Linked DNA regions of Caenorhabditis elegans. The protein of the gene in region 4 purifies or fractionates together with the protein of the main gene of each other region. This does not show direct contact. Each region holds a gene or a part of one and is shown on either strand. Other genes may lie near its edges. The genes, in order: pgk-1, aldo-1, gspd-1 and gpd-2.

Region 1 (7,498 bases), on a different chromosome or scaffold from region 4:
ATTATTCTCGCGTGCTCCTACCCGTCTCTGGCGTTTCAATGAGCCTGGAGTGAAGTGGTATATTTTCTATCAATTTTTTCCTCACTCAAGATATTTTTTTAGCCTGGCTAGGCGCGACGGCCCTCATCATCTGGAAAGTCCAAACAATTGACAATACCATCCTCTGCCACTGCTGGGTGGCTCCCACTCACCCCCAGCGCCCAACGGCACCCAATGGCAACCCAACTGGACAATCGGCCAAAGAGTTGAAGAGAATGCGGCAGAAGCTGAGACACGTGCTAAAACAGTAAGTTGTACAAGCCACCTCCTAATCAATGTTATAATATAATTTTAGGAAAGTTGCTACTTTAAATCATCATATCAACCGCCTGGAGGACTCTCCAAAATCCCGGATGTCCTTTACTGAAGAGAATATCAGGGACATCCGGTTCCATTTCCGGGAGGTCCAGAAGCTCCTGAAATTCGATAATTGAGAAGTTCGCTTATTTTTCCACAATTCCCCCGTCGTTCCTCATCCAAAACTTGCCCGTTTGCCTCTATTACCGGTTTCTTTCCATTTTTTCAGTTTCATGTACAATAAATCCTTTCTCACAAATCACACAATTATCAAAATCCAAAGAAATTGACTAAACTGCCAGTCGCAGAACGTTTTGGTATTACGGTAAACACAAAATTCTGAGAATGCGTATTCCGCAGCATATTTGACACGCAAAGTATCCCGTAGCGAAAACTACAGTAATTCTTTAAATGACTACTGTAGCGCTTGTATCGATTTAGAAATATTTTCGAAATTAAAAAATGCGTTGCTTCGTATTATTTTCTTAATATTTGCTTAATTCTAGTATTCTATCGATATTTAAATCCATTTCGAAAATCGACACAAGCGATACAGTAGTAGTTTTAAGAATTACTGTAGTTTTCGCTACGGGATACTATCAAAATTTATGAATCGATCCTTCGATTTTTGCAAAATCGAAGGATCGATTCATAAATTTTGATAGTATTTTGCTCGTCAAATATTTTGTGCAATACGCATTCTCAGAATTTAAGTGTTATCGTAATACCGTAACTGTTAAATGGTCCAAATTTTTCAAATTTAATGTCCGGTCCAAAAAAATTAATTAATTCATTTTTTCATTATCACTGAGAAATTCAAGATCAAATCTATATCACATATTCACAGATAATGGCGTTATATTTAGCTCCTTCTGCACCTCGCTGAGCTGCTTTTCAAAGTGATTTTCCCAGTCGAAAGCCATGAAGAATCGTGCATTCGTGGCCTGCTCCACAACCCAAGGGAGGTTCCGGTCGACAAGTTCTTGGCGATTTCTAGAATTTTTAAATTTTATTTTCATGGTTTCGTCTCTCTTTCTGCTTACTTTGTTAAAAGCCTGGCACCTCCAAATATTCCACCAGTGACACACATTGGAAGCCCATATTGAATTCCTTCGAAATATTTGACTGTTACCTCGCCGAGCATGTTCGTTTTCTGCTCCAATGCGATGTGGGTGAAGTCGTGTGTTTCGCGATACCTGAAATTTTGAATTTTTTTGTTATTTACGTCGATTTTTAAAACCTTTGCATAACATAAAGATGCTCCAAATTATCGATATACTTGACAGTGGGCCGAGCATCTGGAGATGTGTTCAAACGATCGAGAAAGCTGAAAATTGAAGTTTTTCAATTTTTTTTTGTTGTTTAATATACTTTCACATACTTTGAATACAATTTTCCTAATGTTCCATCCGGTAACTGTCTTAGCCACTTTCTATCAATTGTTCCATTTGAAATTCTTGGTTTTTCGAGAAGAAGTCGCTTTCCAACAACATCAGATTCCATTCTTTTTCGAATATTTTCTAAAACTGGTCCAATTGCAGTAGTTTCGCCCATCGCTGCCACCATATCTCCTCTTTTTGGATCCGAGATCGCTGTTACTGCTGATCCAATCCCGAGAAGCATCCGAGACAGCGGTGCCAAGGGAACATGCGATGCGTATAGCTTTTGAGCAGACATCTGATTTCTTTTCTTTTTTTTTCAATTGGAAAATGACTATAATGTATTGGTAGATATACGGAACTCTACGATTAAAAAACTCTACGATTAAGTGAACTCTTAATTTATTCTATAGTTATACACTTTATTTATACTTCATGTTACATGGAAGATTGTGAAATCACTGGGAACAATTCAAGACTAATGTGGGAAAGTTTTTAGAGAGAGAAAGAATAAATACAAATACACTATTGGGCAAGGAATAAACAATAGAAATTAGAAAATTATTGAGCTGGCGAAAGAGCATCAACTCCTGGCAGAACTTTTCCTTCGAGCAATTCCAAACTGGCTCCACCTCCAGTTGAGACGTGAGACACCTTATCTTCCGTGTTATACTTCTTGGCGGCGGTCGCAGTGTCACCTCCTCCAATGATTGTGATGGCTCCGGCAGCGGTGGCCTTGACAACTTCATCCATCAATGACTTGGTGCCTGTGGCGAATTTATCAAACTCGAATACTCCTGCTGGACCGTTCCAGACAATCGTTTTGGCGCGTTGAATGGCAGCGGCGAAGATCTTAGAAGATTCCGGCCCAACATCAAGTCCCATGTGGCCATCTGGAACACCTTCCTCGGCGGTGACGGTCTTCGAGGTTGCGTCCTCGGCGAACTTGTCAGCAATGACGAAATCCACTGGGAGATGGATTTGAACTCCCTTTGCCTTGGCAGCCTCAAGAAGCTCGTTCACAATTTTCGCTCCTTCTTCGTCGTACAAAGAGTTTCCGATCTTGACTCCCTGGGCAACTTTCAAGAAGGTATAGGCCATTCCTCCGCCGATGATCATCTCATTAACCTTGTCTAACAAGTTCTTGATCAACTGAATCTTGTCAGCGACCTTAGCTCCTCCAAGGATGGCCAGGAATGGACGAGCTGGGTTGTCGAGGGCCTGAAAATTTAATAATAAAATTCAATATGAAAAATTGGAGGAAAAAATTACCTTGCTAAAGTAGGAGAGCTCGTTCTTGAGCAAGAATCCACTTGCACGTTGTGAGTGCTCGACTCCAACCATGGAGCTATGGGCTCTGTGAGCGGTTCCGAAAGCATCATTGACATAAATATCGCCAAGCTTGGTGAGAGACTCGCGGAATTTCTTTACGGCTGCTGAATCAGCCTTAACCTTGGCACCGGATGCATCGACTCCTTTGCCCTCCTCTTCCAGATGATAACGAAGATTTTCAAGGAGAATGACTGATCCAGGAGCTGGATCGGCGCATGCAGCCTCCACTTCTGATCCGACACAGTCGTCGAGGAAGAGAACATCTCTGAAAATCATTTGTAATTTTTTTAAAATCAGATTATACAACAAACTTTTTCAAGAGAGCCTTCAACTCTTCAGCAACTGGTTTCAAGGTGTACTTGTCTTGGCGTCTGCCATCTGGACGTCCCAAATGTGACATTAAAACGACAGATTTGGCTCCGTTGCTAAGAGCATGCTGAAATTTTGAATATTATTGAAAATGTTGTTTGAAATAAATTTGAATTGATTACCTGAATGGTTGGAACAGCGGCAGCAATACGTTGATTGTTGGTGATTTTGCCATCCTTGAGTGGGACATTGAAGTCAACACGGATCAAAACTCGCTTTCCGGCGAGGTTCAACTGGTCGATAGCCAACTTGTTGAGGGAGCTCATTTTTCTGAATGCTGAAATTGTTTGATATTGATTTTCAAAAATTTCAAAGATGGTCAAAACAGGAGAGAATGTTAAAATTGAGAAACAAACAAGACAACTATTTTGACGAGCGACGTGAGAAATGATAGAAGTTGTTGCTCGCCTTTCTCTTTTACACTGGAAACGCAGAGAGACGAGAGATCGAGCGAGAGACCGCGCATTTGGATGGGTTGAAACGAATCAAATAAAAAACACATGAAGAATAACCGAAAACACAAATATAAATGTTTGAAGATCATTTGAAATTAAGAAGGCATGAACAGTAGTGATAAAACAAACCATTTCTAGAAATTTGATCAAATATGCTGTCAAAACAACGTCACTCATATAGATAAAAGTAAAAAATCAAGAATCACAAATGTTTTAGGGAAAATCTGAATTAGAAAATTGGAAGAAATGAAAATAATACATTTTGTAAACATTTTTTCTCAATTTTGGATGAAATCGATGAAGGGAAACCTTCAAAATTGTAAGACAAAAAGGCAAAAACAAAAAATAAATGGAGACCCGAAGAACTCGGGGGATGTCCAATTGGGGGGATTACCAGGGGATTGGTCCCGCCCACAGAACCGTGGCTTGCAATACGCCCATTTCTGCAACTGCCGCACGGTTTTAAAATTATTTTTTCTTGTTAATTCTCGCTCTATTGAGAAAAATACAGTTTTAAAACCGTGCGGCATTTGCAGAAATGGGCGTATTGCAAACCACGGTTCTGTGGGTGAGGCCAATCCCCCGAGTTGGTAATCCCCCCAATTGGACATCCCCCGAGTTCTTCGGGTCTCAATAAATGTTCGAAAGTATAGAAAGCATGCAAAATTGCGTTAAGTTAAATGCTGTCTGTGCAAACATCTCCGCAAAAGTTCAAAATTTTTTGCGCGGGGGCGCGGGTCTCACCACGAATACCGTACACTTGATACCGACAGGCGGGAAAAATCATTTTTAGAGTCTGATTTTTAGGCTTTGATTTTATTCTATTTTTCTCTTTTCGTTTTAAAATTTTATTTTCTTGCGGATCATTAGAAAAAAAAATGAAAACGCGCTTGAAATAACTTTCGAAGAACTTGGTTGAAATCAATATGTACTTTAAAGAGCTACCGCTCAACTAATATTGCACGAATTTTATTTAGAAAACTACTAATAAATTCTGCGTTTAGTATTTTCTACTGTTAGGGACGTGGAGGCCTTGTTGAAATTCGTGAAAACAAGCATAAATAGATCTCGATGAAGTATTATTCATTTTTCTTTATTTCACCAAAGCGTATCGATTGGCCTCTCTTCAAAACTGCGTTTGACTTGGTTCGGCTATTATTTTATACAAAGTCTGTGTCTTTCTCCCTTAAAATCAATCAATATTTGGCTCATAATACCTTCTTGCCTTTTGAATGCGAAAAGAAAACAATAAATACGTTTCCTCTATCCTCTTCTCGTAGCCTTCCCCCTCTAACCAAACGCGCTCCGTTGTACAATGCAAAACCGCCACTTTCAAATTTAGCTCCCATTTGACATCGAGAAGTTTGCTTATATTTATTCACCTCTTAAAATTGTCTTTTTTTCAAAACGATATCAAATTGCAGAATGAATCGAAAACCGCGAACCCGCAGTACGATTGTTCCTGGTCGAGTAAGTGATTCAGATTTTTAAAATTCTTAACAAATGTTTGATTTTTACAAAAAAAAAGTTCCACATTATGGTAATTTGATTGCTTACTTATTTTGTTTATTTCAGAAAATGATCACTGAAATCGTTGCTCTTCGTGAGGCTGGCTTGGACGATACAAGACCGTCGTACTTGGAGGAACCAACAGTTATCGTCGATGAATCGATGATGAATGATAGTGCAAATTTGGAGGAGCGAGAATGGAGAAAACAGGGACTATCTGAGAAGCAGATGTTCGCTATTTTGGAGAAAAGGAAACAAACACAGCTTAACAATGTAAATTTCAGTCACAAAATCTTTTCAACACCTAATAAACTATATTCAGGCCAGAAAACGTCTCGAAAAGGAAATGTACGGAGCGAAAACCTTCAAAGAGTTGATTGCTTGTCGTGAATACTCCGAATGTGAGAGCGACAGCGAGAACACTGTGAATCAAAATGTCCGAAGCGCTTCGGTTTTTGCCATTCCGGCGCTTCCGAAACACATCAGTGAAAAGTCGATGATGGGCTCGCCAATTGCTAATTCCAGAGGGGTATGAGATGAATTTGCGTGTTCATAGTTTAATAAATCTATAATTTCAGAGTGGAAAAGCTGGATTAAGTTGTTCAACTCCCAAGAGCTCGAGTGATACGTCGATGAGGTCCTTGAGATCGCTTGATATTTCACATGTCGTCAATACCGATCGACTAGATGCTGAAAGAGTGGTAAAATTTGTTTGTTTTAAAGATATTTAAACTAACTTTTATATCGTTTCAGACTGTTCACACCAAGTCTGTCGTTATCCCAACCATTCTCGAGGAGAGAGAGTCAACACTCCAGAAAACTCTCACGATTGAGAAGAATCACAGCTCTCAGCTGCAAAAAACCTTCACTGTGGCTGAAGATGCTCCTGAAGAACTTCAGAAAACGGTGACAATCGAGAAGAATCAGAGCTCGGAAATGCAAAGAACGTTTACGGTGGCTAAAGATGCATCAAAAGAGCAATCACAGCTTCAAAGAACGGTAACGATCGAGAAGAATCAAAGCTCTCAGCTGCAAGGAAACTTCACGGTGGCTAAAGATGCTCCTGAAGAACTTCAGAAAACGGTGACGATCGAGAAGAATCAGAGCTCGGAAATGCAGGGAACGGTCACAGTGGCTAAAGATGCAGAACACTCCTCTCTACAGAAAACGTTCACAAAGCCGACCGAGAAAGATGAGTCATCACTTCAAAGAACTTTCAACGTAGCTAACAGAGATGAAAATAACGATTCAACTCTTCAAAAGACGTTTATTATTGAAGAAAGAGATGCATACGAGCAAGGAACCACGAGTGTTGGTGTGAAGCCTCCAGTACTGGCACAAAACACGATGGAAGGAGGAGAAAAACGGAGAACGTCGAAAGTCACTTCGGATGAGCGAGAACGACGTAATGCCAGTATTTCTAATCCTCTTCACAACAGTATGCTCGAAAAGGAAGAAATTCAATCGCCGGGAGCCAACTTCTTCAAACATCCCCGAAAAAAGATCAGACCGGTGGTTCAAACGCCGCCACGAATCAAGGCAACCAGCAGACTTAGTACTGAATCGAATAAGGAGCGAACGATTGAGATGGAATCGGTAGCTGAAGAACGAACAATGGAAGCGGATTCTATTGGCTCGTCTTATATCTCTCCAACATTCAATGCATCTCGAGTTTCGCCGGTTCCAGAAGTTCCAGAAAAAGTGGAGCCAATGCATGTATCGAAAGCCGCAACTCCAAAGTATGTTTTTTTTCGAATTGCGGAATATTATTCTTATTTCTCCATTTTCCAGATCGATTCGGCACACGGATAATTCTATCCGTAATATTGGACCCACCAACAATGTCGAATGTGCTCGGGCTGCACTGCTCTCAACACCGACTAGGATGGATATCGTTGATTCTGTGAATCGAGTGACCCCGGCACGACGATATGAACAGCCTACTTTCGCTTCACTCGTCAAAAGGATGAATATGAAAGATGCTAATCGTTTGCTTGAGGAAACTTCACGAAAGAATACGCCTGCGAAGACTACTGCTACAACTTCTTCAGCCGCTGTTCGCATGGTTTTGGAGGATGATGAGGAGGATCAGGCGACGGAGGTCATTGAAAAAAGATC
Region 2 (7,285 bases), on a different chromosome or scaffold from region 4:
AGTTTTCATGGCACAAACCAATTTGACTGGAACAAGAAGTTTGTGAGTGCTTTGTTGGTGTTTTTGAGGGTAAATTTCATAGAGTAGCGCCTGTGAGGAAAGTGTTTGAACTCATATGGTGACAAATTGACCGAATATCATAATATAACTTTTCAAAAAAAAATTTCAAAATTTTTTATTTACGGTCAAAAAGTGACAATTACTCAGGTTTGCCACTCATAATTTTGGAAATTTTTTGGATTGTTTTATTATGATATACGGTCGTTTTGGATTGTAAGTGTATTTAGACAAAATCCCCAATGGCGATACTCCACTTTTAACCACGTGGTATTCTTATTTGGTTGATTGATACAATTTGCACACACACACGAAAACTATTGTCAACATTTAAATGTTTCAGATCTGATTCCTCAACAATGTATGCATATGGTTTAAAAGAATCAATCGTGTTCGTATTTGTGGTAATTGTTGCAATTTTCTCTTTAATCGTTGCGACACAAAACTGCTCACAAATGATGCTCGCTGCTATAATTGGCCAAGGGTACGTTCGTTTTTTTCTGTTTAAAATTTTATTCAGTTAATTAAATTTTACCCAGATTTTTGTTGAAATTTTTATAATTTCTACAATTTATTTTCAGAATATGCATATTATCAATATCTAGTGAACTATTCACTTCTGAACGGATCTCTGCAATTTTTAACGAATTGAAAAGTTTTGAAACTGCCGGATCTACTATTGAAATTGGGTGAGTTTTGGGAACTCAATTTTTTTACTAGAATTTCTAGCATTTCGGGAAATTTTGAAGGGACTTCTAAAATGCACTGTTTAAATCATTCCAGCAGCAAATAAAAAAATCCGAAAATGTTTAGAATTTAATTTTTAAAAATTATTTTTAAGAACGTTTGGCGCAAAAGTGAAACTTTTTAACTTTAGAGAAGAATCATGAAAATCAGTGCAAAATTAAAATTTTAATATTTCAGAAAAGATGATGCAAAGGCATAAAATTGGACATTTAAATTTTCAACAAAAAAATACTAGACATAAAATTTAAATTCTAAGTTTTCCAAAACTTTATCGCTACAAATTTCAGTTTAAAAAAATTTTGCGCTAAATTCAAATTGAAATAATTCAAAAATAAATTGGTGCAAAAGTCAAATTTTAAACCGTCTTTTCTGGTTTTCAATTTTAAAATCTCTTGTCCAAAGTTAAGAAAACTCAGTTCTTCAAAATTAAACCAATAAAAAACCTTGCAGAATAGTCCTCTTAAACGGGTGTGCAGTGGTGTCACTACTCGTATTGGTCCTTCAATTGATTGTCTTTGTATTCTGCGTCTCTCCAATCTCCACACTCTCTGCCTCGTCAATCGGTTCTACGAATTCCTTACTTTTACTTGACAACAATCGAAATCCCAGTGGCAGCAATCGAGTCGAGAGAACCGCGTTTTGAACGTTTGCTCAACTTTCTCCGCTCTTCCCCTTTTTCACTTTTTCTCCAATTCTTTCAAAAAATAAAACTATTTCTTCATTTTTATTTTACTCTAAACTCAAAAATATTGGCCACATTCATTTAGACAAAGAACAACTGTCAACTATGGGTCAACATTTGACAGACATGAGCATTTCACGTGGGAAATGGCCAGATAGAGCATTACCTAGAGAAAATACTTTTTTCTATGTTCGTCTTACACTTCTCATCTATCTATATACAGGAAGAGCTTTTCGATAATCGAGTTTTTCAAAACAGTTTGTTGCTTTTTTTTTGGAATTGCTTAAATTTTCAGCTAATTGAGAATACGCTTGGTTAAAATTTTAAAACTTTTTACATTCCAAAAGCTTCTAAAACTTGCCAGTAACAACTTTTTCTCAATTCCGAGCTACGGTTTTCCCGCATTTTTCAAACATCTTTTTTTTTTAAGTTCCCAATATTTTTTTTTCAAAGATTTTGACAAAAACCATTTTTTCCGGCAAATTGCCGAAATTGAAATTTCCGGATCCCCTCTGATTCAAACTCTGAAAATTAGAAGAATATATATGTTAGTCGTGATAAGATGTTGCTTTTATAGATTTTGCAAGGCATTCTACCTAAATTTCCAATGGTTAAGTTTTCTTTGTGCACATTCAAATTCTGGGTCCATGAAGAAAAAAAAACAATTTCATAACCCTTCTACGTTTTCTCTAAACTCTCACTATTCGCACAATTGCATCATGCCTCCTCCATATTGCCATCTCACGCAAAAAAGCACATAGCCATTCTCAAAATATCTTTTTCACATCACGTCGTTTTCTATTCGCTGTCTTTTTTGTTGTACCCATGTTATAGTTTTGACATAGAAGCTCATTTTATTTACAAAAATGAATACATAGATGTATTGCTTGTTTTACATAAGATCCTCTTCTTGTTTTTTTTTGTCATGATTTGTCGTAGATTTTGAATTGTTTTATTAGTACGTGCCTCGCATGTTCTCGTACTTATAGTAGCCTTATAGGTCTTACGAGAATGCCCAGGGAATAAACAGAGCAGGGGTATACGGCAAATTTGCCAAATTTGCCGTTTGCTGAGCTCGGTAACTTTGCTGAATTTGCCGAGCAAGACAAATTTCAAAAAAGTAGATTTGTTAAATTTTCCGAGCTCTGCAAATTTCGATATTTGCCGCACATGCCAAAGTTTTGACATTACAACTTTGACCAAAACCATTGGTTTTGTCCCCAAAAATTGAGTAAAATGACACAAAATTGAGTTATTTTGATAATTAATACAGAGCGAGTTACGGAATATGGCAAACGAAAATGCAGTTTACTCTAGTTTTTTTTTAAATATAACTATGTGGTCTAAACCCTATAATATTGGAAAACTAGGTAAATTGTGTTTTTATCGTAGGGGCAAGTTGGCTCATTTTCGAATTAAAAAAAAAAAACAAAATGTGCCAAGTAGGGTCGATTCCTCTGAAAAACGATTGCATCATTCCAAATTTCGTAATCTCTTTTACATTATTTCAATTTCAGACTACTCCAATGAGTCCTAAACTAGGCTCGAGCTCATAGCCCGGCTGCTCTAAGTACGCCAGAGGCATATGTCTGAAAAGCAATTTCAACTTTCATATCTTCATATCTCCGCACGCTTCCGTGAACCAAATCAAATCAAATCCTCCAACGTTGAAAAGTTCAAGACTTTGGCAATTCCTGCTCCTCTCGCTTCTTCAAACTATTTCTCACGTTCTGCTCCAACAGCAGTTCTTCTTCTTTTACTTCTCACAAAATTTCGTGCAAATCACGTAGGGCCCCTCAATTCCCTCTCGCCACTCTGCACGGCTTCTCACACACTCTTGCTCTCTCGCCAGGGGCTCTCCGTCTCCCTTCTCGGCGGTGCCATCGATTCGTTTGGCGCGAGAGAGAAAGCTCCGGCTCTTTTCACTTTTATCAGCGGCCCTTGTTTTTCACCGACTTCACTCTTGCACATTTTCAGGCAACTTCATTTTCTAAAATGGCTTCTTACTCGCAATTCTTGACCAAGGCCCAGGAGGACGAACTCCGCTCCATCGCCAACGCCATCGTCACCCCAGGAAAGGGAATTCTCGGTAAGTAACGATATTAAATTTGGGAAACAAAATTTGGCATTTTGTGTGTTACAAATCTAATCTCTAATCTCTCCAATCTCCCTGAAATTCGAATTTGCAGCCGCCGATGAGTCCACCGGATCCATGGACAAGCGTCTTAACAGCATCGGACTCGAGAACACCGAGGAGAACCGCCGCAAGTATCGTCAACTTCTGTTTACCGCCGGAGCCGACCTCAACAAGTACATCTCGGGAGTCATCATGTTCCACGAGACATTCTACCAAAAGACCGACGACGGAAAGCCATTCACTGCTCTTCTCCAGGAGCAAGGAATCATTCCAGGAATCAAGGTTGACAAGGGTGTCGTCCCAATGGCCGGAACCATCGGAGAGGGAACCACTCAGGGATTGGATGACTTGAATGCTCGTTGCGCTCAATACAAGAAAGACGGAGCACAGTTCGCCAAGTGGAGATGCGTGCACAAGATCTCATCTACGACTCCATCAGTGACTGCTCTTAAGGAAATTGCCTCCAACTTGGCTCGCTATGCTTCAATTTGCCAACAAAATGGACTTGTACCAATTGTTGAGCCAGAGGTAATTACCGAGAGTCGAGAGCCGAGAGTCGCACAGCACTGGTACCTACCCACCTAAGTTCCTTTTGGGGGGATGTAGTCGTAGATCGGCTTGAATGTAATACTTAGAACGGTTTTCACAGAAAATTTTAATATTCGATGCAAAACCCAAGTTAATGCCACGTCCGTTACTTGGGTCTCGCAGCAGTTTTTTTTTTGTAAAAAAAATATAATTGGCACTCTAATTAGTTATCATTTCAGATCCTCCCAGACGGTGAACACTGCTTGGCTCGCGGACAGAAGATCACCGAGACCGTGCTCTCATATGTGTACCACGCTCTCAACGAGCATCACGTCTTCCTCGAGGGAACCCTCCTCAAGCCAAACATGGTCACCTCCGGACAATCATTCACCGGCGAGAAGCCATCGAATGCCGATATCGGACTCGCCACCGTCACCGCCCTCCAACGCGGAGTCCCATCCGCCGTTCCAGGAGTCGTCTTCCTCTCCGGTGGACAATCCGAAGAGGATGCCACATTGAACTTGAACGCCATCAATCAAGTGAGCGGAAAGAAGCCATGGGCCCTCACATTCTCCTATGGACGTGCTCTTCAAGCCTCCTGTCTCGCCAAGTGGGCCGGAAAGGACGAGAACATCGCAGCCGCCCAAGAAGTCCTGCTCCATCGTGCTCAGGTCAACTCCCTTGCCTCTGTCGGAAAATACACCGGGGATGCTTCAGCTGACGCAGCCGCTTCCCAATCCCTCTTCGTCGCCAATCATTCTTATTAAATGGCCACGCTCAGGATCTCTTTTTTCTCATTTTTTAAAACTATTCAACGCACGTAGAATTATGTGTCTGTATACCCCTTTAATTGTCATTATTTGCTTCTCTAAGTCTCTTCGGATTTAATAAATCTTTGGTAGATACGAATGCACAATTAAAGAGAGATGTATCTTTGGAACATTTGATTCAAGCAGACAGACAATTGAGCGATGGCTCGTCGCGATGCATTCATAGTGATGACGTCAAGATGTCTTCTACTACTCACTATTCCTTGTAGGTTTATGTGTCTGCTCAATTGTTGAGAACAGAAGGTGCCTAGTGTAAGTGCGAGAGAACAATTTCCCAGTGGAGCCGTTTAACCTTGGGCAGGTGCGATGCACATTTTCAGATCGATATCTAACCAGTTGCACACTATTCGCAACGCATTACAGCCATTCATTTGTCCATTGCAATGTACTACCGCGAAGTGAGAGGATCTGAGATCTTCTATACCAAGTACTATGGTCCGCCAACTGAAAAGGATACCTTGGCTGCCAAGAACCCTTTTGAAATGTAAGTGTTTTTAAAACTAAATTTTCTAAATTTCCAATAGTAAATGTGTTACACCCTGTCGTTGGATTGTTTTTGTTTTCCAAGTTGTTTGATCTTCAGAAATCGACTAACCGAGATTTTTAAAAGTCAAACGAATAAATCAAACAAAACCAATATAAACATTTCCAGGATGGACTATGCCTTAAAATCCCCGGAGCACCTAACTTCCGCCCATTCATACACAAAGAATAACCACTGTCAATGCTATGAAATCGCAGTCGATATCTGTTCTGAGCCACGTGTTCGTGTGAAGGGTCTAGACCGTTGTTGGGAGTACCAGATCCAATCTACCGTGAATGCTCCGCCAACTCCTGGAGAGATGCGAGTCATTGAATTTCTCAAGGTTTACACTACGCGTATGTATTCAGAAGATAAGATTGAAGGACTAAAGAAGTGGACGGAGAACGTAACTAATGTACTAGACTTTCCAATTCATACGATCAACTTCTCACTGGACGCCTTTCCCCAGCAAAACCGAGAAATCATCGATTGGCTTGCCAAAATTAGAAAGGACATTCCAGACGTTAACATTTTCGGGAGCAATGTGGTAAATGAAGATTTGCTCTATTTACTCCAAACTGTCAATATCACCGATAGCGTCGAGTTCCACTTGGATACCGCTGAAATATTTCCTTACGACATCCCAGTCCGCGCCAAGTACTTCTTGAGCTCTCAAACAAAATGGATTAGCATCAAGCAACTTATGAAGCTGGAGTGCACTGATATCATCGCAAACGACACTGATTTCACTGACGAGGAGCTAAGCACGTTCATTTTGAGTTGGATGAAAATGGAAACAAATGAGAATTTGACTTCTTTGATGACTCCGATCAAGTCCCCTAAGGCGGTTCTTAGCAAGTTACCTCATGTGATTGATGCGAAGGGTAACGTTATTCTGACGCGGGATAATGAAAAGAGAGTCTGTTTCTACATCTTGGAGAAAAATGGACTGAAAAAGCTCATAATGAGATAAAATTTTAAATATTTTTTTGGCGAATAGTAGATATTTTTTTCATTGTATTTATGCTTTCCGAAAAACAAGCTATGTATGTTTCTCTTTTTAATTTTCGTGATATAACACTCTTCTTAAAGTTTACTATTTCAATTCACATATGCCAAAAAGTGTAAATTCTGAATATCCTTTTATTACAATAAACATGTTCACCTACTCTTGCAACGTGAAGCGTTTTTTTTTCAATTTCTGACTAAAAATTCGTTTAATACGGTATCAGGTCTCGACACGATCAAAAAATTTCTGTATTCTCTATTTCAGCACAGGTTTTTTCACGAAAGCATTTTAGCGGGTTTTTTAAAATTTTCTAGGGTCTTTTAAGTTCAATTGGTATTTTTTTTAATTAATTAAAAATTTTAATTCTATATCACTTTCAAAATAAATAATACCAATTGTATTGCATTTCATAACATTAATGACTACAGTACACTTTAAAGGCGCATCGCTCAAAGTTACAAATCAGGTCTCGTCGCGAACTTTATTTGCGAGCAAGACATTTATTTTTTTAAACCTTTTCAGGCTTTGTTTCTCCATTTTCTTCGATTTTCATTCATTTTTCTATGATTTCTCTATTTTATTGTGAAAATATGTACTTTTCGTTGTTTTATAACCGTTTTGCTGTTTAAAATAGATAGCATCTGCATTTCCGAGTAGTTTTCCTCTTTGTCGAACTTGAGAATTTGTTTTCGAGGCATTATTGATGATTTAACAAGTCATTCTGAGTTTAACTTGTTAACTTTTAAATGTTTGCCGTAATTTTTGTAAAATT
Region 3 (8,472 bases), on a different chromosome or scaffold from region 4:
ATGCAGCATAATCACCGAAATACTTATTGTAATGCTCGTTGTCAATGTCAAGGAATGTAACAAGTACAATCCGTTCAATTGTATCATTCTTTTCAAGATACTCGGTCAGGAAATTGGTGACGGTTTTAGCGGCATCGTCATTTGGATAACCGTACACACCAGTAGAAATGCAACAGAAGGCCTGAAAATATATAATATTTGCAGTTATTTTTCAGATGAAACACTTACAATACTCTTCATCCCGTTCTCGATAGCAATATCTAGTGATGTTCTGTAACATGCAACAAGATTTTCACGCCGTTCATCTGTGACATTTCCATATACTTGTGGACCAACTGTGTGGATTATTTCTGAAAATTCCAATAAAATACGATCAAACAATGCTATAAATACTTACTTTTGATGTGATTAATATTGCATCCAGAGGTAATGACAGCATCTCCGACAGCACATCCGTTGTATTGCTGGCATTCTTCCTGTAGTTGCTTCCGTCCAGCTGCACGATGAATTGCACCATCAACGCCACCACCTCCAGCTAATCGACTGTTTGCTGCATTGACAATTGCGTCGACGGAAAGTTTAGTAATATCTCCATCCCAGACACTGATACGGCCCAGAACGTTTTTGGCAACCTTGACTGAAAATTGTGTACTATTTTAGAATTATGAAACGCCTGAAGCTTACATTTTTCAAAGAGAGTTGGAATTTCTGAAATTTTAGCTGCTGCCATTTTTTATCAGCCTTAAATTTGAACTGATAGTGACTTAAAAACAAAACAAATTAGGATAAAACAACGCGTGGAAGAAATTGTTCACGAGGACTACACGCAACATGGACTAGAATTTCGTGCGGCCGTGGCTGAGTTTTCTTATTTTTATGTTTCTCTCTCCAGAATTTTCTGTTTAATATCTTTTAATGTTGTTTCTTCGTTGTTTCTTTAATTAAATCTTTGAATTAAAAATAATTTAGAATGCCGGAACACACGAAAGTTTCTGCTGAAGACCAAGCGCTTCTCAATAAATTCGCTCGGTCATACCAAACACAAACCCAGTTAAAAGTACGTTTTTTTTTAAATTTTACATTAAAGTTTCTCTTCTTTAATTTCAGGCAGACGTTAAAGAAGCTAAAACACTCATTGACAATATCAATGAAGCAAGTGATGAAATTTTGTTGCTCGATGATGAGGATTCAGCATCAATTCCATGCAGAATTGGAAGCTGCTTCGTTCATTTCAATGGGGTGAGCAGTTTTTTTTTTAATTTGAATTGAGAATTAACGTTTGGTTTACACGAAAGTAGTGATTGGTTTTCAGGATAGTCTGAATGAGCATTTGGAAGGAAAGAAGACAACAGCAGAGAAGGTTTTGTCTGAGAAAACCTCCGAGTTGGATGCAATCTCAGCGGACATGGAGCAAATCAAGAAGGTTTTGTACGCCAAATTCGGAGATCAGATCAATTTGGACGCTGAAGAATAATCTATAAATTCTAATTTCTTATTTTGCTCGATTTTGTATCTTTTCCGTTGAAGCTTTCATATATAAAAATTATCTCAATTTAAAAATTGCTTTTCTCACCTTTTTCACAACGTGTGCTCACTGTTCACTGTTTCCGCGTATTTTGCTGATGAATTTTTTCGACCGATTTTCCTTATCACGAATGGCACCACCCACTTGTGGGTCACACCAGATCCTAAATATCAATATAGTGGACGGGAAGAGGAAGGTTTTTTCGTGTTTGGTGTTCATTTTAGTTTACATGTTTTGTTTCCCATTGCTCTTTATTTATAGAGGAGACGCTCGCCCACGTAATATAATAGCATTTTGGAAAAATCCATTATCTTTCAGACAATCTTATCATGATTTCCACAATAGACTGGCTAGAATGTAGCATTCTAAATATTTGAATTTAACAGAAAATATTCAATTTCTCTTTAAAAAAATACTTGAAAATTAATTATATTCCCAAATTGGCAACATTCTTTCCCGATTGTCTTTCTGTCCATTTAATTTGTCTGCCCTTTCTTTTCTCACCTTTTTTATCCGTTTCTTTCTTTGTCACCTCCGAAGTTTTGTCAGCATTTTCCGTTTTTTTCTCCTCATATTTTGTTTGCACTTTTCACCTTCTAAAAAAATGATCGGCAGAGACACAAATAAATGTGGCCATTCGTGTGCTCCGTTTTCCAAATGAAACCCGATTGGCAGAATTTATGGTTGAAAATGCATAGTTATTTAGGAGTTGCAAAGAACAGTTTTCATTCTTCTTTTTCTTTGTCTTCTTGTTAATTTGGTAAACTGATCAGACGTTAATCAAATTGATAAACTTTCAAGTTCAGTGATTTTTGATTTGTTTTCTGAAAACGAAATTAGTTTTTTCTCTGATAGACTAAGTCTTCGAAGAATTCATCTTCCAGATAAAATCCAAAAAAAATGTGTTCCAGAATATCCTAGTCGGTCAACTAAAAGTCAAGAACCATAGATTAAATCTAGAGTTACAAAGTTTCGTCTCTTCTCCAGAGTCAAGTTACTCGAGTTTTTATGTTTCCTAGAGAAATACATTGTTTCTTTTCATTGTCGATCAATGTCGCCCAGAGAACATTATTTGTCATGGTTACCACTCGCACACACTACACAATTTCATTCAGTCATCATTTTTTGTGACCCGAGAAGATTTCAGTAAATATTTTCATGTTTGTAAAGAGACTGGCGCATCCACTTTTCTCTTACTGTTTCTTTCTTCTCTCGCTGCCCTGTGAAAAAAATGGAAGTGGAGTAAAAAGTGACCGATTTATAGTGTTGTTCCAGTTGTTCCAATTCATTTATATTGTAGACTGCGGTTCGCTACTAGGTATATGATTCGAAAGGAAAAATTACATTTTTTAGTGCTAGAAATTAACATTATTCCATTAAATGTAACTAGCTGAAAGTAAGCAGTTTATTACTCTGCCAGTAAAAAAGAATTGCGCAGAATCATTATGAAGTACATCAATATATCAATTAACGTATTTCTTTTTGATTTTTCGTTGTATAAATGAAACAATAATCTCACTTTTAAATAACATTTATGTGTATCTAGATGGTTTACTTTGAAACTTGTAGTTTCTACTATTTACCTCTCAACACGAGTAATTTTTGTGAATCAATGTTCGTCATTCTCACTTCAAAATCTAGTTTATAAATTTACAGAAATGGCATGCAAACGTCATTCAGTGTCCGATCCCATTTCGAAGGATCTCGTCGAGTGTCTTCGTGAATCAATGCAAAGAGATCTCAAATTTGAGACTCCGTACGTTTTCGTGATATTTGGAGCATCGGTATGACATCTATTCCATATATATCGATTATTAATTATTTAACATTTTTTCAGGGAGATCTCGCAAAAAAGAAAATATACCCAACACTGTGGTGGTTGTTCCGTGACAACCTTTTGCCAGTCAACATCAAATTTATTGGATATGCCCGTTCCGATCTGACAGTTTTCAAGCTTCGTGAATCTTTTGAGAAAAACTGTAAAGTTCGAGAAAATGAGAAATGTGCTTTTGATGACTTCATCAAGAAGTGCTCATACGTTCAGGTAAATCTACATCTGCTAATAAATAGGCGTGAAACTTTGTTCCAAAAATACAGTGCTCGGTCTCGACACCACAAATTTGTGTTAAATGCGAAAACGTATCACCTTTAAACAGTACTGTAGCTTCAAGCTTTTGTCGATTTCAGATTTTAAAAAAATTGTTTTAAAACTGAAAAAAAATAATTGCAACACATACATTTTTTTTACAAATCAGGTAGGAAAACTACGAAAACCAACAAAAACTTGAAACTACAGTACTCTTTAAAGGCGCGCACTTTTTTGCATTCAACAAAAATTGTGGGGTCGAGACCGGTTACCGTATTTTTCGCACAAAATCTTGTTACTGGGTAATAAAAATTTGAATCGAAGCTTTTTTCTAGAAACTTTGAACATAAAAAGCACCATTGACATTTTTTCAGGGCCAATACGACACTTCTGAAGGATTCCAACGCCTTCAATCTTCAATTGATGATTTCCAAAAAGAAAGCAATAATCGTAGGTTTAGAATTAAATTTCACTCAATCTAAGCAAATTTATAGAAGCCGTCAATCGTCTCTACTACCTCGCTCTTCCTCCATCAGTTTTCAACGTGGTTTCTACGGAATTAAAGAAGAATTGTATGGATCATGGTGATTCATGGACACGTGTTATCATAGAAAAACCATTTGGACATGATTTGAAATCATCTTGTGAACTTTCAACTCATTTGGCGAAACTTTTTAAAGAAGATCAAATCTACCGTATTGATCATTATCTCGGAAAAGAAATGGTTCAGAATTTGATGGTTATGCGGTAAGAATGTTTTTTCAAAGTATTTGAAGAGATTTATAATTTTATTTTGAACTTTCAGATTTGGAAACCGAATTCTCGCTCCATCTTGGAACCGCGATCACATTGCATCAGTTATGATCTCATTTAAAGAAGATTTTGGAACTGGTGGCCGTGCTGGATATTTTGATACAGCTGGAATTATCCGTGATGTTATGCAGAATCATTTGATGCAAATTCTAACTTTAGTCGCCATGGAGAAACCAGCAAGTTTGAATGCTGAAGATATTCGTGATGAAAAGGTCAAAGTGTTGAAAGCTGCTAAAGTTGTAGAATTAAAGGATGTAGTAGTTGGACAATACATTGCCAGTCCTGAATTTGATCGTGAGTTTTTCAAAAATTACAATTTTATAAAAGTTTTGATTTTTAAATACATTAATTTTAGACCCAGAAGCATCACAAGGATACAAAGATGACAAATCAGTTCCAGCCGATTCGACTACTCCAACGTATGCTCTTGCTGTTGTTCACATCAATAATGAACGTTGGGAGGGTGTTCCATTCTTCTTGCGTTGTGGAAAAGGTAGGGAATATACAAAAAAAAACCGAATTTTTAAATTTCAATATTATTGCAGCTCTCAACGAGAAGAAAGCAGAAGTTCGTATACAATTCAAAGAAGTCAGTGGAGATATCTATCCGTCTGGTGAATTAAAGCGATCCGAATTAGTGATGAGAGTGCAACCAAATGAGGCAGTTTACATGAAACTGATGACCAAGAAACCTGGAATGGGATTCGGTGTTGAAGAAACTGAACTTGATTTGACTTATAATAATAGGTTAGTTTTTGAAATTTCTCTTCAAAAAAAATTTCATTGTGATAATTTCAGATTCAAAGAAGTCCGTCTTCCTGATGCTTATGAACGCCTATTTCTCGAAGTATTCATGGGATCTCAAATTAATTTCGTTCGAACTGATGAGCTTGAATACGCTTGGCGTATTTTGACGCCAGTTCTCGAAGAGCTTAAAAAGAAGAAAGTTCAACCGGTTCAATATAAATTTGGAAGGTTGGTTGTGTTTCTTTTTTTTTAAAATTAAATACAGTAATCCAATTTTTCAGTCGTGGTCCAACTGAAGGTGACGAATTGATGAAAAAGTACGGTTTCATCTTCACTGGAACATACAAATGGGTTGCTCCAAAGCTATAAATGATACCAGATCTTCCTCTATTCATTCTCTTTCAAATGTTTGTAGAAATAACTTCAAAAATTCAGCAGCTACTAGTTCATATGTTTTCCTGTGTTCCACATCAATATTATTCCTGCTCTTTTTTCATTTGTTAATGTTCTATTGAATGAATGAAAATAAATACGTTTTCAGTTAAAAGAAGTGTAGAACGATAAGATAAGCCAGTAAAAAGGCTTATTTTAAATAATCTGTATTCAAAAAATAATCATTTTTTCGACAAGCCGGTTACGGTGCGCCAGTCCGCAAACACTCTGCATACACTCTACTTCTACAGTAGTGGACGTGCGACGCGTGTTGCGTCGCGCATCATCATATTGTTCAATTCTTGTTCAAGTTCAATCATATTTTCTTCGGATTTCTATCATTTTCCATCGGATTTCCCATCATTTTTGCACAAATGTTTTAAAGTATCAATATCTTTGATTTAAAAAAAAACGTCTTTCTTGTTTTACGTCTTTTTCTTGCTAGCTGCACATCGTATTACTCATTCTTTTTTTCAGCCATGGTTGCTGCTTCCGCTACCCGGAACATGCTCCAATCATATGGAAAACGTGGAATTTACGTTTCACTTGCTGTCGCTGTCGTCTCGACTGCCGCATTCAACGCATTTTACGTTTGGCCACGTCACAACAAATATGAAGAGTTTTTCGCGTCAGTGTGATCCTCGCACAAGTGTCTCCCGGGCAACGAGCAAACTTGCAGAAACTACGATTCGTACACTCGAATGAAAGAGATTTGTTCTGCTAACAAGGGGTACATGCATACTTGTCCAAAGGAATTGGCGAAATTGTACGAAGAGAAAGGGAAAGTTGTTGCCGAGCACTAAATGTTTGATAAATTATTCATAATAATACAAGTCAATAAAGTCTATCATTTCTTTATTCAGTTATTTGTTTTATTCTTGATCAGTACTTTGTGGTTTGTACCACATTCATATATTTTTATCTAAAATTTTCTATCCACGAAAAACCTCCCTTTATAGATAAAAATGGTCGAGAATAAGAGTTCGTACGAACTGCCTGATCAAAAAACTCTTGATATGAACAAAGAATGGGTGCAGGAGCTGGAGGATGTGAGTTTCCAATTGTTTAGCTTATAAATATATTTTATTTTTTATTTCAGATTTTCTACAGCTACAAGAAGTACGATGTGAACAAGGTCAGAGTTCAGCAGTTTTTGGACAGAAGATCCGATTTCCTCGTCTATGACTTTTACACCTCTAACCTGTCAATGGAGTATGTGAACAATGTCACCTTTAATAACCTCATTTATACAAATTTTCAGTGCGATGCAGTATTTCCAAGCAGGTGTAACTCAAAAGGACGTCGGACTGAGCAAAGACTACATCCTGCTCATGCGTAAACTGTACAGTATGCTCACGGAGCCGAGCAAGCAGTTTTTCCAGGAGCAATTCGTTAAGGAATGGCAATATCACGAAATTGATTATACGCCATATTTCGAAACACTCGTTCCCCGATTCAGGGAGAAAATTGCGAGATTATTGGATGAAATTGTCAAAAATCCTGAAGAGGTCGACGACGATGTTCAGGAAGAGGTTGGATTTATAATTTTGAAACAAAGTTCATATTGATATTTCAGTTGCGCTGGCACCTGCTCTTCTCACCAGTCACCACTCTTCTGGACATTTTCACTCGATGCCTCAAGAACTTCGAAATCACTGGATTTTGTTTAAATGTGTGCCTAAAAGTGCCACAATTGTTCTTCGATCGTCCGCTGAAAATATATCACACTGAATACGAAACCGATCGCGTTGAATCACTCATGGCTCTGGTTTTCCGCAGATTGATTTTCAATAAGCGCTGGGTGGATACAAGTGACGAAGAGTGGAGCAATTTGGAACAACTCGCAAGGGTGATATGCTCAGGACAGGAACCCTCGTTGATGTCTGCATGGCCACTTCTGGAAGTGGTGCTTTGCGAACTCTACACTCAGAACAGAACTCCCATGATATCAGTGGAAGTTTTGAGCGAAATTGCTGTGAAAATTGTTGAAAACTTCGATAATTTGAAGTATGCCACGTCGGCGAGAACTAAACCAGCTGAGAATGTTCTTTTGACTCCTTCGATTATTTGTTTCTTGCTCAACATTATTGTTGACGAGAACGTATCGAATACAGTCATTGAAAACTGTAAAATGATTCTCAAGGCGATTGGTCAAAACATGGAGCAACCGTTCGATGCTGAAGCGAAGAGCTACTTAACTTCTAAGGTTTTGAAAGAATTTCCGTGGACCTTAGAATTCGCAATCTCAACGTGGTTCAAGGCTCTGGAAGTTGAGAAGCGACGCATTCCATCAGCAGTCTACAAAGCAATCAATGCAGAAATGAAGGAGACATTCGACGAAAGAACTTTCGATATCGAGGAAAGCGAAACTGTTGATCAATCGATCAATGAAGAAGACGAAGAACGTTGTTCGACTCTATCATCTGAATCTTCAGTGAAAACTGCGATATCTATTGACCATAAATCGGACACCGCTGTTGATAATCTGGAGATGAATCAACTGCATCTGAGCCCAAAGCCCAAGGCTTCTGTAGAGGCAGTGAAAAGCTGTAAGCCCGCTTTTGTCGCAGTGATATTCGAGGAAATTCCACCCGAAACTGATCAAAACATCTCAGTTTTTGAAGATCCAACAATTGAAGTTCTCACGGAATACCTCGATTGTATCATCACAATGGGAGTGTTCGACATCTCGTGCGCCGACGAACTCATGCGTCACAGTTCAGTCACGTTCGAATCCTCAGAACAACTGGAAAAAGTAATGAAGACGGCGTTTGAGGAGAATTTCGAGATCGCAAACGCTGGTCCACAGCGTATCAAAGAGATCTCTGGGAAGATTTTGGAGGTAATGTTTTGTCATTGTCACTAGGAA
Region 4 (7,129 bases):
GTTTGTGGCAGAAAAAAAAAGAGTGCTATTATAAAATATCGAATTTCAATTTCACGTTATTTCGGCAAACTACATTTACTTGGGAGGATTTGCTTCATTTTGTTCCGAGCCCCCAAATGCTTTTTTTTTTTGGTTCTTCTTTTCTGTCACGAGCCAGTAATTTTTCTGAATCGATGAGAAGGGCAAAATGGAAGAAGAAAAAGAAATAGTGAGGAAAAAAGAAGATGGGCTCCGGGGAATTGGAAACGCACCCGCACAAAAGAGAATATAAAGAGAATAAAGAGAAAAAGAAAAACGGCGTGAAGCGAAACAAGAAAAAAACGCAGCCAGCTTTCTATGCTTCATTTCAAGTGTACCCGTAGAAGCAGGCAGACTTCGTCAGAGTCATGCGTACATCGTTTCCCGCATTTTGAGGCAAAAAATAACGTCACTAACAACAGGTTGATGGATTTTGCCACGTGACTTTGTGATATCTATTCTCGTTTTTTCCTTCATCTTTCAACTGTCTACGACAAAGAATAACGTGACCATAGGAATTTTCTGAGATTGTATAATTGCGAATGAAATATCAAATATGGAAAGGTAGATGAAAAGTAGAAGTACCCCAAAATATTATTAAATTTTTAAAATTAAATCTGGAATTTTTAGGTCTACAAATAATTATTTCTCACGAGTTTACCATTACAAAAAGTTATCCTATGAAAATATATTGTGATACATCTACTACATAAGTGACCAAAAATTGTTTCCAATAAGTTTTCTATTCAGGCTTAGAAAAGCACTAATCCTAAGCTTAATAGTTAATATTTTTTGGGACTACACAAGTATCCCAAATGACTCTGGGAAAAATGTTAGCAAAGTGACAATGTGCCGACATTTTGAGTGCACATTGCACTCTACACTGGACACTTCTCATCGCTTCTCAATTTAATGTAAACATAGAGGCTAGACGGAAACTTAATCGGGTTTGTATGACGGACAATCACAACGAAGAATATAAATGAGTGTAAACCTCGTGAAAGGTTCGAATTCAACGTTTCAAATTTGATATAGCCATTGAAAAATGCTTTCTATCCAACAACACAGTTTTAGTTACTCCAGCTAAAAGATTTATTCTTATAAAGAAAATGAGAATCAAAGTTACAATAATGTGGAATTTATTATGTTACAGATTCATTTCAGACTTAGAGAATTTGAAGCGGCTTAGGCCTTGGTAGCAATGTAGGAGATAAGGTCGACGACTCTGTTGGAGTATCCGAACTCGTTATCGTACCATGAGACGAGCTTGACAAAGTGTGGGTTGAGTGAGATGGATGCTCCGGCATCGAAGATGGAAGAGTTGGTATCGGAGACAAAGTCAGTGGAGACAACTTGATCCTCGGTGTAAGCGAGAATTCCCTTCATTGGTCCGTCAGCGGCAGCCTTGATAACCTTCTTAATGTCATCGAGGGAAGCTGGCTTCTCAAGACGAGCAGTGAGATCAACAACAGAGACATCTGGGGTTGGGACACGGAAAGCCATTCCGGTGAGCTTTCCATTGAGCTCTGGGATAACCTTGCCGACAGCCTTAGCGGCTCCAGTAGAGGCTGGGATGATGTTTTGTCCAGCTCCACGTCCGTCTCTCCAGAGCTTTCCTGATGGTCCGTCAACAGTCTTTTGGGTGGCGGTGACGGCGTGGACAGTGGTCATAAGTCCCTCAATAATTCCGAAGTTGTCATTGATGACCTTGGCAAGTGGAGCAAGGCAGTTAGTGGTGCAGGAAGCATTGGAGATGATGTGGTCGTTGGCATGATCGTACTTCTCGTGGTTGACTCCGACGACGAACATTGGAGCATCAGCAGATGGAGCAGAGATGATGACCTGAAATTTAAATATATTTATCTTGAAAAATTAAATCACTAATTTACCTTCTTGGCTCCTCCCTTCAAGTGAGCATTGGCCTTCTCGATGGTGGTGAAGACTCCGGTGGACTCAACGACATAGTCGGCTCCAGAGGCTCCCCATTGGATCTCAGCTGGGTCTCTTGAGTTGTAGACCTGAAATTGAATAGAATATTAGGTGAAATCTAATTGGAAATAATTCTACCTTGATCTTGTGCTGGGACTTTCCTTCCTTGGCGACAAGAAGGTAGTCTCCCTCGTGGGCAACGGTTCCCTTGAAGCGTCCGTGAGTGGAATCGTACTGGAACAAGTAGACCATGTAGTCGATGGAGATGAATGGATCGTTGACGGCAACAACATTGACACTGTCCTTCTCGACAGCGGCGCGGAGGACAAGACGTCCGATTCTTCCGAATCCGTTGATTCCGACACTTGGCTTGGTCATGATGCGTTGAAGCAGTTTCCCTGAATTAAAATTAGAAGTTGAAAATACAATAGAAAGAAAATTGGAAGGTATATAAACTCGCAAAAACGAGGAAATGGCAGATTCAATAAGATGAATAAATATACAACCTTTATTGAGAAGAGACCATTTATATACTTGTAAGCTTCTAGGAAAATTTTAGATACTAAAGAGAAGCATAGATTTTAAGACAAGCAGTTAACTAGGTGAAAGTAGGATGAGACAGCTTAGGCCTTGGTGGCGATGTACGAGATGAGATCAACAACTCTGTTGGAGTATCCGAACTCGTTATCGTACCACGAGACGAGCTTGACGAAGTGTGGGTTGAGTGAGATGGATGCTCCGGCATCGAAGATGGAAGAGTTGGTATCGGAGACAAAGTCGGTGGAGACAACTTGATCCTCAGTGTAAGCGAGAATTCCCTTCATTGGTCCGTCAGCGGCAGCCTTGATAACTTTCTTGATGTCATCGAGGGAAGCTGGCTTCTCAAGACGAGCAGTGAGATCAACAACAGACACATCTGGGGTTGGGACACGGAAAGCCATTCCGGTGAGCTTTCCATTGAGCTCTGGGATAACCTTTCCAACAGCCTTAGCGGCTCCAGTAGAGGCTGGGATGATGTTCTGTCCAGCTCCACGTCCGTCTCTCCAGAGCTTTCCTGATGGTCCGTCAACAGTCTTTTGGGTGGCGGTGACGGCGTGGACAGTGGTCATAAGTCCCTCAATAATTCCGAAGTTGTCATTGATGACCTTGGCAAGTGGAGCAAGGCAGTTAGTGGTGCAGGAAGCATTGGAGATGATGTGGTCGTTGGCATGATCGTACTTCTCGTGGTTGACTCCGACGACGAACATTGGAGCATCAGCAGATGGAGCAGAGATGATGACCTAAAAATTTAAATATATTTATGCACAAAAGTTGATTACAAGTTACCTTCTTGGCTCCTCCCTTCAAGTGAGCGTTGGCCTTCTCGATGGTGGTGAAGACTCCGGTGGACTCAACGACATAGTCGGCTCCAGAGGCTCCCCATTGGATTTCAGCTGGGTCTCTTGAGTTGTAGACCTGAAATTTAAGAGAATGTTTAACAAAATATGTTTGGAAAATATTCTACCTTGATCTTGTGCTGCGACTTCCCTTCCTTGGCGACAAGAAGGTAGTCTCCCTCGTGAGCAACGGTTCCCTTGAAGCGTCCGTGGGTGGAGTCGTACTGGAACAAGTAGACCATGTAGTCGATGGAGATGAATGGATCGTTGACGGCAACAACGTTGACACTGTCCTTCTCGACAGCGGCGCGGAGGACAAGACGTCCGATTCTTCCGAATCCGTTGATTCCGACACTTGGCTTTGGCATGGCTGAAAATTGATACTACTACAATCAGTTCAACTAACATACAAACGACAAATAAAAATAGAATGATCGAAATGAAAATCGAATCAAATTGAAGAGAGAAGAATATGAAGTGAAGCCATAAAAACCATGTTTACTATTTGACGAAACATGTGCAGTAAGCGAAAAAAAAATGATGCAATAGGCAAGATGAAGAAATGCGGTGTGAGAGAGAAAATAGAGAGGAGAGAATAAGTATGCATAAAAAGAAAGGGAAAATTGAAAATGATGATGCAAAAAGAACAGAGAGCCGTTTGAAAAGCCCTCTATTTTTTATGTTCCGTGTCCTTTCTCGATTTCCTTCAGTCGTTGCTGATGTTGTTCGAGAACCTGAAATGAAAGTATTGAAGAACGTTGAAAGGTAGTGGAAAACAAAAAAAAAGAGATTGTTTGTGAAAACCAATCTATCTCTTCATTATGCTCGCTAGTCGCCCGTCTCTCTAACATATCAAGGTCAACTGTGTAAAATAGAGAGATTCGAAAGGAGTCCCCGGTCTATTTTGAATCAGTTCTAGAACACGCCACTTTCGCAGATAAGAGTTTCGGCAGTGTCATGTGACACATCAAAGAATAACGAGTTAATCAACAACAATATTTTCCTGCGTGTTTTCCTTAAATGGAGTGTCTCGTACCTTTTCATGATCCCGAATTTCCTGTTGGCTTTGCGTCATATCTGCTTCAAGCTTCTTCTTGAGATTGTCCAACTGATCTTTTTGTTGTCTTCGGAAGTATTCTTCTTCTCTGGTGGCGCCCATCATGCCGAGTGATCCACCTGCTTCACGGATTGAGCCGCCGGAGCCTCCACCATGTCCAGCACCACTTCCACTTCCAGATCCTGACATCTGTTTTGATTTCCTGGAAATGAACTAACTGGATTATATGAGCATGGCTCCAAAAGTAAAGAGAAGCGAAAGAAGAAAGCTGTCAAGAAGACGTCGAAGGGAGCATGCCTTTTTTATTTCTGAGAAGAAAAAGAAGAAAAGCAGCTAACACACACACACAAGTTTGTAGCACGTAAAGTAATCTTGAGTGAGAGCGAAGGGCGAAGGTGATGCAAACAGGCCCTCCCAAAACAAATTTCACAATGCGAGTGGCGTTTCGATGGCCGGAGACCGAGGACACTGGGCCGCCCATTTCCAAACGGCAATCGATTTTGTTTTTTTTACACACACATCAATATACACGCACAAACATTAACTCACAAACACACACACACACCGCACTCTCGTGAACTGAACGCACAAAACGTGTGTGTGTGTCAGTAAACTCTGATCTAGTAGAAAATAGTGCGTGTGTTGCAGAGGATTTAGAGAAAGGGTCGAGAAGAGAGTTTCGAGCCGCCCGTGAATTGATATCATAAACAATTGAAGACTTTGAAACATTTACAACATTTGACCTTCGAGAAAAAGAAGAACGAAATAAAATATTTACTAACCTCAAAAGTCTTTGTGAGCAAGAGCAACATTGGTTTCCGGTGAGCTCCTTGAAGTCAAACTCTGTTGTGTTGTTTCCTTAGAAGGCAGGGCAGGGTCGCTGTTTTTTTAGGGGAGCCGCCGTGGCGAGGCGAACATAGAGAGTGAAGGGAGCGAGGCGGGTAGCCTCAACTGATGCATAGAGAGAAAATGGGCCAACTGCGAGTGCGACGACGGCCTAGCCAGCCGGCACGAATCGATGGAGATGCCGACGTCGCCGACACACGATTGCTGGCCGTTGGCACGTAGGCAACGGCAGTGTAGTAACAGGAAAAGAAGAGATTTGAGGAGTTGCTCTTCTTTTCGCTTGGAGCAACTCTTTTCCAACCCGAAAGTTTTCAATGATAAAATATAGAACAACACGAAGATGAAAAGGCGCAGTCGCTAGTCAATCGTTCTGAAGATCAAACTAGTGGCCGGAGTAAATGGGAGGAGTTGGAAAATAATCAACGAGAAAAGTGTTTTTCATTGACATCAAAGAATGTTTTATATCAGTTATCACTGATCACTAGTCACTAGTTTTTTCAATTTCTGAAAGAAAATCTAATTTACTAATAGACACACGATGAATCAGAATTTATTCAAATGTATCTGATCAGTTGAATACGTGAGATCTTTTATAAAAGCTAATATCAACCAAAAGTTCAAAATCACTTCGAGATCAAAACTCTAATGGCATATGTTTGAATGCACGAAGTCAATAATTCTAACAGGCGAGAGTGCTATAGTTTTCTCAAAAAGTGGCAAAAACTCAGGAATTTCCACTTTTTGACTGTCAATAACAATTTTTCAAAATTTAATGTATCATAAACGTGTAATGTAATAACTTACCAAAACATGCCTAAACAGTGTGTCATCTTTACCTCAAGTTTAACCAAATTATTATATTTCCAACACTATATTTTAAATAATAGTTCCTATGACAAAGTTTGTGACGTTCATTGAGAAAAAGTTGCATAATTCAGGTTTTTTAAAAAACCCACTATCTTCTATCATATTACGAAAAATCAACAAATCAAAAGTTCAAACTTGGCAAATTCGTTGAAAATTTTCCGGTTTTCTCGTTTCACTAAAAATTGATGTTTCAATGACATCAAACAAAAACAACTACCTAGGAAAGCGAACTGCCCACAAAAAACAAAAAATAAGTTTTTTATCAGTATTCGATACAATCTGATAACATCCTTTATCGTGTTACCAGAATGTTCTCTGTACCTATTGATTAGTCCAAAAAACATCGCACTTGGCAGCTATAAATATTTATTCCATAGTTGTCGTTTTTCATTAAAAGTAAATAGGCGAAAGCTTATAATAAAGAAATCAGCAATGATTTTGGGTGGAGTACAAAATGAAAAGCACATCAAAACAAAACATGACCGATTTTCTGACTGGAATGGAATAAAGAAATCAGTGTTTTTGTTTAGGGACATTACATGAAATGGCAGGACTTTATTCGGAAAGGAAGAGAAATCCATTCATAAAATAATGAATAGTTTGTTGCATAAAACTATTAATATAATGCTATTGTGTTTTGCTTTTGTGAAAGATGGGATTATAAAAAGACAGTGACAAAGTAAAAATAAAATATTCAAAGAAAAAGCGGGGAGGGCAAATAAGCGTACAAATTATACTTTTCCTTTTGCATTTAAAACGTTATCTGGGAGTATTAATAAACTGTTGGATGGAGGAACAAGTGACCAGTGGTAGGAAGAAACGAGAAATTTAAAATCATATGACAATTGGCGAGATTAGCTCTGGAACAAGGCATGCACAAACTGCTCGTAGTCGAGACCACCTTGGATGGAACGACCTGAAATGGCGTCCATGTATGGCTTCATTCTTCGTATGCAGAATTCGGCTTGCTCCGGTGTCAGGTTCTGAAATGAAACAAATTAAATATTTATAATCTAGGAAAAATATTCAAAAATCC

Evidence for each region.
Region 1: the proteins of gpd-2 (region 4) and pgk-1 fractionate together in Caenorhabditis elegans (co-fractionation; one large-scale study listed by BioGRID). This does not show direct contact.
Region 2: the proteins of gpd-2 (region 4) and aldo-1 fractionate together in Caenorhabditis elegans (co-fractionation; one large-scale study listed by BioGRID). This does not show direct contact.
Region 3: the proteins of gpd-2 (region 4) and gspd-1 fractionate together in Caenorhabditis elegans (co-fractionation; one large-scale study listed by BioGRID). This does not show direct contact.

Annotation. Positions count from the first base shown.
Region 1 is NC_003279.8:3,863,736-3,871,233, reverse strand, and holds pgk-1 (putative phosphoglycerate kinase), read right to left. Parts: upstream 3,694-7,498; 5' UTR 3,683-3,693; coding exon 3,539-3,682; intron 3,484-3,538; coding exon 3,359-3,483; intron 3,313-3,358; coding exon 2,988-3,312; intron 2,937-2,987; coding exon 2,277-2,936; 3' UTR 2,125-2,276; downstream 1-2,124. Other genes in the region: coq-4 (Ubiquinone biosynthesis protein coq-4, mitochondrial), read right to left, coding at 1,170-1,329, 1,380-1,532, 1,577-1,663, 1,718-2,013; hcp-4 (HoloCentric chromosome binding Protein), read left to right, coding at 5,297-5,341, 5,447-5,653, 5,703-5,909, 5,959-6,081, 6,134-7,119, 7,172-7,498.
Region 2 is NC_003281.10:13,561,116-13,568,400, reverse strand, and holds aldo-1 (Fructose-bisphosphate aldolase 1), read left to right. Parts: upstream 1-3,463; 5' UTR 3,464-3,481; coding exon 3,482-3,575; intron 3,576-3,675; coding exon 3,676-4,151; intron 4,152-4,390; coding exon 4,391-4,918; 3' UTR 4,919-5,055; downstream 5,056-7,285. Other genes in the region: exc-12 (Protein PNS1), read left to right, coding at 1-42, 401-541, 639-746, 1,255-1,447; T05D4.2 (F-box associated domain-containing protein), read left to right, coding at 5,365-5,465, 5,634-6,477. UniProt on the Caenorhabditis elegans protein: May be involved in the metabolism of fructose-bisphosphate (beta-D-fructose 1,6-bisphosphate) and of fructose 1-phosphate.
Region 3 is NC_003282.8:11,314,238-11,322,709, forward strand, and holds gspd-1 (Glucose-6-phosphate 1-dehydrogenase), read left to right. Parts: upstream 1-3,181; 5' UTR 3,182-3,183; coding exon 3,184-3,309; intron 3,310-3,362; coding exon 3,363-3,569; intron 3,570-3,985; coding exon 3,986-4,061; intron 4,062-4,105; coding exon 4,106-4,358; intron 4,359-4,416; coding exon 4,417-4,718; intron 4,719-4,779; coding exon 4,780-4,917; intron 4,918-4,969; coding exon 4,970-5,171; intron 5,172-5,222; coding exon 5,223-5,399; intron 5,400-5,452; coding exon 5,453-5,540; 3' UTR 5,541-5,714; downstream 5,715-8,472. Other genes in the region: B0035.3 (Macro domain-containing protein), read right to left, coding at 1-181, 229-350, 398-637, 685-730; pfd-4 (putative prefoldin subunit 4), read left to right, coding at 971-1,057, 1,108-1,239, 1,313-1,474; B0035.18 (Mitochondrial cytochrome c oxidase subunit VIc/VIIs domain-containing protein), read left to right, coding at 6,083-6,231, 6,283-6,406; Protein edg-1, read left to right, coding at 6,569-6,652, 6,703-6,815, 6,865-7,135, 7,180-8,445. UniProt on the Caenorhabditis elegans protein: Cytosolic glucose-6-phosphate dehydrogenase that catalyzes the first and rate-limiting step of the oxidative branch within the pentose phosphate pathway/shunt, an alternative route to glycolysis for the dissimilation of carbohydrates and a major source of reducing power and metabolic intermediates for fatty acid and nucleic acid biosynthetic processes.
Region 4 is NC_003284.9:3,110,997-3,118,125, forward strand, and holds gpd-2 (Glyceraldehyde-3-phosphate dehydrogenase 2), read right to left. Parts: upstream 3,694-7,129; 5' UTR 3,692-3,693; coding exon 3,452-3,691; intron 3,403-3,451; coding exon 3,274-3,402; intron 3,228-3,273; coding exon 2,571-3,227; 3' UTR 2,447-2,570; downstream 1-2,446. Other genes in the region: gpd-3 (Glyceraldehyde-3-phosphate dehydrogenase 3), read right to left, coding at 1,204-1,860, 1,908-2,036, 2,086-2,325; mai-1 (ATPase inhibitor mai-1, mitochondrial), read right to left, coding at 4,001-4,057, 4,360-4,569; spc-1 (Spectrin alpha chain), read right to left, coding at 6,948-7,076.